2 linked regions of the Schizosaccharomyces pombe genome follow. The main gene of each other region encodes a partner of the protein of the gene in region 2 in a complex. Each region holds a gene or a part of one and is shown on either strand. Other genes may lie near its edges. The genes, in order: lsd2 and phf1.

Evidence for each region.
Region 1: phf1 (region 2) and lsd2 share a complex: the UniProt entries of both Schizosaccharomyces pombe proteins name them as parts of the SWM histone demethylase complex.

The regions. Positions count from the first base shown.
Region 1 is NC_003424.3:444,625-451,245, reverse strand, and holds lsd2 (putative histone demethylase SWIRM2), read right to left. Parts: upstream 4,477-6,621; coding exon 2,005-4,476; intron 1,952-2,004; coding exon 716-1,951; 3' UTR 520-715; downstream 1-519. Other genes in the region: meiosis specific arrestin family membrane adaptor Ste7, read left to right, coding at 1-36; Fe-sensing transcription factor Fep1, read right to left, coding at 5,983-6,621. UniProt on the Schizosaccharomyces pombe protein: Catalytic component of the SWM histone demethylase complex that specifically demethylates H3K9me2, a specific tag for epigenetic transcriptional activation, thereby acting as a corepressor.
Region 2 is NC_003421.2:458,087-462,606, forward strand, and holds phf1 (PHD finger domain-containing protein Phf1), read left to right. Parts: upstream 1-1,781; 5' UTR 1,782-2,030; coding exon 2,031-3,416; 3' UTR 3,417-3,828; downstream 3,829-4,520. Other genes in the region: serine/threonine protein kinase S6K family Psk1, read right to left, coding at 14-1,324; mrpl4 (mitochondrial 54S ribosomal protein uL29m), read left to right, coding at 3,865-4,299. UniProt on the Schizosaccharomyces pombe protein: Component of the SWM histone demethylase complex that specifically demethylates H3K9me2, a specific tag for epigenetic transcriptional activation, thereby acting as a corepressor.

The sequences.
Region 1 (6,621 bases), on a different chromosome or scaffold from region 2:
GATGTTCTTATCAATGAAGTCTTACAGTCTCTTTAATTATTTATAACAGACTTCCTGAATTACGAGTCTTTATAACAACCACTTTTTTTTTGACAATTGAGATGCCATCTCCTATTAACTTTTGGATAATGCTTTTAATTATACATGTCCAAATATGGACTGGAGTCAATAACTCGGCATTTTTATATTATTTTATTTTAATATCATATGCATCTTATGTTTTTTTTTTAACTATTTCGTTGTAGTACTTGCTTTGAGATACATAGTGTCCATGGTGTCTGCAACAAATACAACCGCATCTGTTTTGGCTTAATTTAATGATTCTTAGTTAATTTTAATTACTTTTTTTCTAATAACTTATTTTTTTATTTATTTCACAAGCGTACTAGTAATATCATTTGTTGCTTGAATATTATGTTAATGGCAAAATGGTAACATGCATTACATCCTAAAGAGTGAGAGTAGTAGCTGTGTTTACGATATCATCTTTTATCTCTTACATCTTCGGCATTAAATCAGGTTGGCTACTGGCTAACGAGAAGTGTACATGTATTTTAGATTTTCCTTAAACAATTTGCTGAAATTAGCAATTTGATAAAATGCTTCATTTAGGGCATGACGAGAATATATATGTACATAAAATTTTAAGGGTATTTGTAATGATGCGAAGTAACTAAACTTTTAAAAAACAATATGTGATTTGATTTTTTTTCTTTTAATATCGTGTTCCATTATAACCCGAATCAGAAGATCCATCGTCATGATACTCTTCGTCGCTAGCCTCTCGACTTTTGGAAATGTTGTCATCCTGAGTTTGTTTTCTTTGCTCTTCTTCTCGTTGAGCTTGCATAAACAATCTTGCTTCATCATCGGGAATAGGTTCATCTTGGCATTTGGCCGCATAATCATTTCGTATTTGCTCGGCTCTCATTTCATATTCTTTAGTTAGGCGCTGATAACGAAGAATTTTTCCAGCATAAGCTTCTCTTTGTGCTGCAATTTCATCAATCCAAGGTTTTTTACCTAAATCATCAAGCTGGCGCCAAGTTTTCCCTAGTTTGGCACGTGTTTCATTAATAGTAGCCTTCGCTGTACTATCTCCTGTTAACCTTCGCTTGTCTTCATCAGCAAGTGCACGGCATACATGCCACTGCATTTTTTGGTAAAGTAAAAAGGGATTTGCATTCGGCTTGGAAGGAGGTTCAGGTAAATAACCAAGAAGTTCAGTTACAAGCTGTTCCTGTTCTTCCTTATGCTCGTCAAGTCTTTCCTGCTTTTTCAACCTATATCTTGCCTGATAAGAAAGGTGACGCTGTGCTTCAGCATTGGGATCAAAATTATTAACTTTAGAGTTTCGCAAAAACTGATCCAATTCTTTGCGAGAGGTTTCTCCAATGATAGGTATGGTTAAGGAAATTGGAGCCAATGAATCAATAATCCCTGTACATACGGAAAGGCCAGATAAAAAGGATCTTTGTAATGTCCTACAGCCTACGCAACTGAATATATAGTCTCCAGCAATATGCAAGCGACCCAAATTATACGATAACTGACTTTGCCTAAATCTTTTTTCATATTGCTGCTTATCATTGGCAAAATTTGGATAAGAATTTAAGCCGTCATAGACACCATTTCTCGACCAGTTTGTGACCCAAGCATCTAATAAATCAGCTGAGCTGTTTGAATCATTTTGAAAATGATCTACTATTAGACTGTGTAATTCTTGAATTAAGTGGGAGGTCTCGTTAGAAGAAGAACTTGTCATTTGTGGATTGATATCCGCTACTAATATTGGGACACCAGTTTCAGGAAGCATATTCCATATTCTCAAAACAAAACAAGATTTACCATCATTCTCATCATTGTTCATTTCTTGACTTAATGATTTTGGTATAATACCAAATGATCTAATGTTCTTTCGCCAAAAAGCAGCTGCATAACGAAGAATAACCTGCTCAATGTTAACTTTATAATTGAAAAAAAAATAAATAAATAAAAACCTACCTTTTTTCCGGGTTTGAAATCTATACTTTTTATGTTTTCAGTCACGAAATTAGGAAGACCTGGTGAAAACTCTATATTTGAAGAAAAATGAGAAGGAGAGCAAGCAATTACAACTTGGTCAACCTCATAAGAAGAGTTGTCCTTACAATCAAGGGTACATTTATCATTTTCAATAGTTACCTTAGATACAAACTTCTCATAATGAATATTTAAGGGAGATGGATAAGATTGTAATGCCCATGGCAGTTGAGATAGACCTCTTCTAGCAACTTTTGGAATCAAAATATCTTTGGAGAAGTCTGTATCAACTGTGTTAAGAGGGTACAAAGTATCGTCCAATTCCGCGACCTTAAAACACCATATCAGAAATTTCTTTTGACTGTTCCCGAGTTTGGCATAAGAAGAAACTTCATCAATTAGTATTAGCATTGTTTTTTTGAAGGAAAATTCATGTGACGCATTTAATGAGAGTGATTTGGACAAATGATCAGGGAACATTTCATCTATAAACAACTGAAATTGGGATATCCAAGAAATACGAACAGATTCCTCAACGTTAATAAAAAAGCAAACAGAAACATATTCCAAAAGTTTTTCCCATAAAATGTTTAATTTTTTCACCTCAACCATGTCTAATACTTTAGTATCGGTCTCATCGTAAACTAAATCTGAGCCAGTCATCTCTGTAACTTCAATACCCAATTGTTTATTTAAAAGGTTAAGCAAAATATCGTCCATAGGCGAAAATAAAAATTGAAATCCCAAATCAATTGCTGAAGGAATATGGGACGGGTCAGTAACATCCTTGGGGTTTAAAGAAGTGGAATTACTAGAAATAGAATTCGAATTAGATGTATGATGGTTAATTTGGGTAGCCGAAGTATGAGAAACAGGCAATGCTCGAGAGTAAATACGACCTCCTGTCCTTTCTTTAGCTTCAAGTATAATAACTTTAGGAGGAAGCTCATTCTTTGACAAAAAAGATGAAGAATACTGAGAAAATAAGCCAGTAAGTTGTCTAGCACATATCAAACCAGTAAGACCAGCGCCTACTACAGCAATAGTCTTCTGCTTCGATGCAGAACTGGATGTTGTGCCAGTATTAGTTTCATTCGTAAAGGATGAATCAAAGGACAAGCATCCATAGTTTATATATCCATACCTTACAAGGAATTCATAAGCTAAAGAGGCTAATTGGAACAAACATCGATCGACACATACGCCCTGAGCTTCAACTCTGGATATGGCATGCGTAGGATTTTTAATCCAAAGCCAACAAATGCTGTTACGAATTTGGAAATAATGAAATAATACAACGGGATCGTGTAAACGATCAGAAAGCATGTGTTGTTCAAAACTTTCTAAGGCCCTCGGATCGAGATTGCATTTACGAGCTGCTTCAGCGGCATGCTCAAAAAACGACTTTAAAGAAGATGTAGGGATACTGGCTCCTGCAGATGGTATAGTATGAGATGATGATTGACTAGACCATTGTAGCAGTACTCTAGACGGCTCAATTGCAACAGAACCTTCAGGCCTAGCACCTAACTCTGAATCAAAAAGTGCAGGACTACTAATATTACCAGATGTAGCAGCTGAAGACATTAAAGGGAAAGATGAAGCAGGAGGCGATACAACTGCCGGTGCAGTAGTAGGTGGTATTGGCAAAACTGCGTTATCAACACTTTTAGATAATTCTGTTGCTGATACCAACTGTGTAGGCATAAAACTTTCATGATTGCGGAATGTAGATGGGGTAACTCCATGAGAAACTTGATCCCGATACATCGACAAAAGTTGCTGAGAAGATAAATGAGAAGCGTCTAATGGATACGGATAATTGGAAAAGGCATTTGAGTTTTGGTGTTGAATGGGGCCTGCATGAATTGCCGTTGAACCATCTCCACTGGAAGAAAGCGGGTTTTGTGATCGTGAAGGATATGTAGATGGAAATTGCTGAGAAGACGGAGAGTTTGCATCAAAAAAGTTTTCGTATGTGGATGACTTTTGTTGAGGAAAAGAGGAACCTACAGTTGGAGGTAATCCAATTGTTCTCATTCCAGACTGCTGAGCGACACCTGCATTTGAATTGCCTAAAAGATGCTGAGGAAATGGTTGATTAGCCGCTTGCGAAATTGTGTAAGGGTGAAAAGAGGAATCATATCTAGAAGGTAAAAATGCTGGATTATAGTTTCCCCATTGATTGTTCAGTGAGCTAACTGGCTGTGAATTTAAGCCGCCATCTGTACGATAAGTTGACCTTGAATACGCGTTCTGATTAACAGAATTAGGTGTGATAGACTGTAATCCACCTCCTAAAATAGCTAAAAGCGCTTGTTCACTACTCACCAATTGAGGTTGAGTTGAATTAACGTTGTTGGCGTTAGCATATGATGAAGCCCGGTCAGAATGATGCTCTGTCATTTCTGGAAAGTCATAATGACCATCTGGATCATTCTCGCTCGTGTTCATAGAGTAAAAAGATACAATCAAAGTGAACCGAGGTGGTAAAATCTCATTGAATCTCGATTTGGTGTTTACAAAGTACTTTGCGCAACATATCCTTAACGATTCGTTAAAAAAATATCGTTCTAAATATTATAGCATAATGGGATAACGACAAATATTATAAGCATTTTTATGTCAAGTCCAATCAATCATCTATCAGACTATCCAGAATTTATATTTTTCTTTTAGATAATACATGTGTCTTTAATTATTTGAATACCATGAAGAACGCCCGAGAGGCATTCAATTGCCTATTTATCTGATTCATATTGCGAGTATTATTCTACGATCGCATTTGCTCTCTTCTACAGGCTTAACACTTTGGAAATGATGAACGAAAAATGTGAAGTTCATTAATTTGTATTCATTTTCCAAATTATTGCATTAATGTGTTAGCTCTTTCATGCTAAAGACTACTACCTAAACTCGTTGATTTCAACTTGCAGAAAACAATATTACAATACACTTGAAAGTATAGTCAGCGGAGAATAGAACAAATGGAGTAAATTATTATAACAATCCAAAAATATGTTACATTGCTGTTAAGATTCAGAAAAGCTTAGGATGTTTAGAGTAGTAGTGTAGATTAACTGTTTATCAATATTATACTAAAACATCTCATTATGGTTCAAGTTCGCTATTGTTGAATTTTACAAAAAGTCTAGTCCCGCCGGGGATCGAACCCGGGACCTTCTCCGTGTGAAGGAGAAATCATACCACTAGAACACGGGACTGTTGGTTGTTAACAGAAAAACTAAATGATATATATCATAATTACATTATTATTGATTTAAATAGATTAAATAATGAATAGCGAAGTTATTTGAGCTGAAAATTAAGTGTAAGTTTTTTATATATGTGCTGTAATGAACAATTAAAATTTCAGCCTAATCATATAGTTTTAAAAGTCAAGCAATGACTTTTTGCGAATGAACTAATTAACCATGGATACTGCTTTTTACAAGCAACTCCATTTTCCGTTTTAAATAGTTGTATACAAATGTTTTTTCCCCCGAAAAATTGTAAAAATATATTAATGAATTGACAATTTCCAAATGAGTTTGCACTCGGGCAGTTTAAATATATTTAATATATTAACTATCTACATACCATATAAATCCGGTAGTATTATTTTTTCTCAATATCTGCTTTTTCGATGCGTATTAATATCATAAAAAATGCTCCACATAGGATTTCATTAAAAACATATATGTTAACTCTAAATTTAACGGTAAATCGCTAAGGACTGAATATTATTTTCCAGCTCTTAACGAATATAACACCGCAGACGGACTTGGCCAATACCAAAACTAACGCAAAACAAAAGACCAATAAGAATCATGTGAAGTATTTTACCCTAAACTCATAGTATACAATGTCATGCTTGTAAGTAATAGACAGCTAAACGGGATAATATCTAATTTGTTTACCATAAATAAATATGCCGCACGACAAACATGCCAATCAAGTTTATGTTTGAAGAGCTCCAGATGCAACAACAGCAGGGGTTGAGGATTTAATATGTTCAGAAGCCATATTTTCATTGTCAGAGGACCTCAGCCATTCATCTATTTGTTGAATGTGCTGATTTAAATTGTGCAACTCCTGAATCATTAAATCATGCTGAGAACGCAATTGCGAAAGAACATTCAAAGCATAATTGCGTTTATCTACATTTGATCCCTGAACTTCAGGAGGAAACTGCAAAGAAACCGGCGAGGTAGAGGATTGGATTAAAGGAGCTTGCTGAGATTGCGAAGGTGAAACTTCTGATTTCGGTCCATTTGACATTGATGGCTGCTTGTCGGAATTTGAGGGTGGCTCTTCGGGGTTAAGTAAGGAAGCAATTCCTTCAGCAATCCTTGGCTTTGCAGAAGTTCGAGGAGGCAAACAGACTGACTCGCCAACAGGAAGGATAGGAGGTAAATGAAACTTCATGCCTAAGGGGTTGGATTGGTTGGCAGTTGCAACGCCATTATTATCCGTGTTCGATGTTGTAGATTCCGATAATTGCTTACTAGAATCATTGCCAACTGCTACAAGCTGACCAGGGTATACTACTTGATTAGCTCGTATACCATTGGGAACATACTCATTTTGGTAAGGAGG
Region 2 (4,520 bases):
TAGCGAAACCTATTTAATGGTTCGAAACTGCGTTGTTAGATAAAAATTCACAGTTGAGAAAATTGGGAGACGCAACATAGGTAAAGCCTTGAAAAGCAGAGGAATGGCTACCAATTGTTAAATTCCCAAATTCTTCATGAAGAATGGGTGTTGTAGAAAGAGGCAATTTGGTAAACTCGACTGAAAAATTCTCCGCAGCCTCAGGATTGGTGATGCAAGGAACAATTGGGGGAGGCAGCATGCGCTTCTCTAACTTATTCCAATCAATTCGGCGATAAATTCTGTGCTTTTTTATTGCATCGTAACCTTTCTCGGGACCATCTGCGCCGAGGCGTTGCTTTGGATTTTTCTTGAGAAATTTGTTGATAATGTCTCTAGCATCAGAAGTCACATAAAAAGGTATGTTAGGCTTTGCACGAGTGATTTTTTCCATAATTCTCTTATGATTGTTGGCGGTGAAGGGGGGAGATCCTGTAAGAAGATCGAATATGAGGATACCCATAGACCACCAATCGACGGCATGATCATATGGCTGCTCCAACAAAATTTCTGGAGCACAATATTCCTCAGTGCCTACAAAAGAACGACAATCAGCTCCATTTTCAGCCACCTTTGACAATCCAAAGTCTGTAAGAAGGATATGGCCTTCAGCATCCAAAAGACAATTCTCTGGCTTTAAGTCCCGATACACAATACCAAGTTTATGTAAATGTATCAATGCTAGAGTCAATTCAGCAGTATAAAAAGCAACCACATCCTCAGGAAGCATCCTTTGCTCGGCCAAATGAGAAAATAACTCTCCTCCAGGTGCATATTGCAATATCAGATAAAGACGATCGTGGTCTTGAAAAGCATAATAAAGGCGACAAATGAACGGATGTCGAACCTCTTCTAATATCTGTCGCTCATTTTTGGTTTGTTCGAGGCCCTTGGCACGAAGAACAATGCTAGCTTTCTTTAGCTGTTTCTGAGCAAACAGTCGTCCAGTATTTTTTTGCTTCACTAGGAGCACCTTTCCGTAAGAGCCACGACCCAATACCGTTAAGGGTTGAAAGTCTGCTGGACGCATCTTTCCGCTTGGTACATAGTTGTCACCCTTGGAAGAAATAAAATCACCATGGGCAGCAACCTTAAACTCTACCGTCCCCTTTTCATCTTTGGCATTCTTTCCATCCTTCAAATCACTTGACGAAGTGATTGTCGACGCAGATGCCTCCAATTCTTCAAAATCATATCCCTCCTCTGCAATCTCATCGTCACTAGACAAATGGGAATTGTAATTCTCATTCAAATTGTCGTGCTCATCAAACATAAAGACAGGCATCTTTGAGCAATTTGTACTGTGAAGGATCACAAGTTTGGCATATGTATGCCCAAAATGCCTTTTCCTTGTTGTTTGGTAGACGAACAAAAGACTGCCGGGATGTAGAGCAAGAAATTCTCTTTGTCATACCTCATTTTGTTGATTCAAAACGCATTGCTGATTGGCCAATTTAGTAAAGTTTAGATATATATAAAGCTTTTGATTCGCCCTCTTTACTAATTAAAGTTATCAACTTACTACTTATTGGACCGCTTACATAGGCTATTGTGCGTTTTACTTTAAAATTTTTTTATGCCGAGAAGCTAGATTAGTGATGATTAACGTGTCTTATACGATGTGCTTTGTGCATTTTAACGAATGAAAATGTCTTGTTGCTTATGTTGTTACCGTAATGTAAGGCTGGCTCTGTAAAACGATGCCAGTTTTATATGGCCTATGCATACCTTCTTCTTGAGACGCGCGTGTTAAACTCATCTTTCGTTGAATGGCGAATTTACATCAATGAATTGAGATTTAGGAAGATTTACTTTTTACATAAAGTTATTCTATGGTCTCAGATATTTTGAATTAACATTCACTGCGTGACAATTGCGTGTATCATCATTTTAATTTGCGTTTCATGTTTGCTAGTTTCATCTAATTGTGCATTTCGTTTTAAATCAAAATTTTCCAAATTACTCATATTTATTAGTCCTCGTTTTTTACAATGTCTCAAAAGAATTTTTTCGACGAAGGAAAGAGCTATGGTGTAAATGACTATGCCGGTTTCCATTTTGAAAATGGTGCTGATTCATCCCTTCCTCAGGTATCGGCTCAAGGTGTAGTTAGAGAAACGGACAGCTCGAATTTTGATGCTTCCCCTGTCGCATCGGGTTCTGGAATTTCCGATGTTGGACCATTTGGCGCTGATTTCCATCAACTGCAGCAGCATGTACAGACACCGTATGGCGGTATGACTATGCCTGCATCTTCCTCTTCAGGCGCTACTTCAGTACCACCGGAGCAAGATCCTTCTTTGTCTGTATCATTCAATCGCTTGCCCAAGTCTGCATCAACCAAGACTAAGAATGGACGCATTCGATCGTCTCGTCGGGAAGACGATAATCGTATACCATTTTACGATCTCGATGTTGCAGAAGGTGCCGAGGATGATTTACAGGAAGACTTTCACGTGGAAGGAATGAAAACAAAATCGGGTAGAAAGATTCAGCGGCCAGTCGCATACAATCCTAATGCCACCGCATTGAAACGGAAAAGTCGCAAGGTCGATATGGTCACCTTGTGTAGCGTCTGTCAACGAGGACATTCTCCTTTATCTAATCGAATCGTATTTTGTGATGGATGCAATTCTCCATATCATCAGCTTTGCCATCACCCTCCGATTGACGATGCAACCGTTCAGGATGTGGATGCTGAATGGTTTTGTATGAAATGCCAGTACAGGCGTGCCAAGCAACCTTTAGAAACGGGAATGACGGCACAAGATCTTGGGTTAAGTGAATCAGACAAAAAAATGTATCTATCAAGTTTACCTACTCCTCATCTCGCAGATCTTATTCTTTTTTGTGAAAAGTCTTATCCATCTCTTCCCATATACAACCCACGTACTCGGGAGTTGTTGGGTGAGATTCGGCATCAACTACTTGTTAGTTCTGAACGCCAACAAATATCTTTACAAGAGCGACTTCATGCTAAACAAGATGAAGCTCCCTCTGATGAGCCTGCACCTGTCCCCTATACCGCAAGTTATGTTGCGAATTCTGGAACCTTATACGACTATCCAACGTTAATACGGTTAGCTATTCGTAACACCCTCTCACCTTCCAAAGATGAAATATTTAACTGGCTTGCTCAAAACGTACCATTGTTACCAACTTTTCACGACAGCGCTTCCGAGGCCATTCGTTGGATGGTAAATAAAGGTCAACTGGTCCGTTCCGGTAGCATCTATCAAATAGCAACAGTCGAAGAATACCCTCACCTCCAACCCTCTTTACTTCCTACTTTTCAACGAAACCGTAAGGTACCTAAATTGGTGCCTGTCTCTTTCCCCACCGATGATCCTCAAAATTTATGTGCTACTGTTTTATGAAACTGAACAAATTTTTCTAAATGTATAGACAAAAAAAATTTCTTTACTTCCCGTTTTTAATTAAACGGTTGCGTCCCGTTAATCTCGAAATAAATTTATAAGCGGTCGAAAGCAATGTATCATTACACCATGTATTAGCTGCAAATCAAAGTACTTTAGTATTTCCTTCATGGATTCAAACTTTTCACTCGATAACAAATCTAGGGAAAATACATAAATCGCCCTACACACTTTCTGTTTACATTATAAACTTTTCGTTTGGAATGTTTCCTCGCCATGAAATCTTAAAATAAAATAAAATAAGGAAATGAACAATTTCTCAATTTAGCAATAATTAAGAAAGTCAATGAAGTATAATAAAAAATAATTATTTTTAAAGTATGACTTACAACCATTATTATCGGTCAATGTCAGGGTGTTACAGCGCACCTTCTACTTACCACCAAAGATGAGGTCCACGTTGGCTAGCGCTCAGAAAGCAGCCGTACGTATTCCAAAGGGCTTTGTATTTCCTGTTCCAAAAGTAAAAAGTGCTCCTAAGGTTTCAGACACGCACCCTTTGTGGAATTTCTTTCGGGACAAGCAAGCCCTTCCACCACCATCGGAAGAGGCTAAATTCGGTAGAGCATGGGCTGCAGAAGAGCTTCGTTGGAAGTCTTTTAATGATCTACATGGACTTTGGTACAATTGTCTCCGAGAGAAGAACCTATTGTTCACACAAAGGGCTGAAATGAAACGCTTACAGTTGACTATTCCCAAAGCCTCAAATGAGCGTGTACTTGCAGTCAATAAAACCATGGCAGCTATCAAATTTGTCCTATGGGAACGCCAAAGAGCATATACTTCTGCCAAGCAGCTCGAGAAACAAAAGGGATCTTCTTAAACCCCTTCCTTTTAGGAAAACAGAAAATCATCCAAGTATGGCTTTATTATGATCTAAAGCTTCATCATTTCACAAACTTTCTAAAAATATACCCTAATACACGAGAAACTGTTTTATAATGATGATAATGATTTTTTATTTTGTTCACCTATAATTGTTTTCTTTATTTTGTTTATACTGATCATAAAATCTCGGTTGTCCCGGCAACCATGCTAATGTCT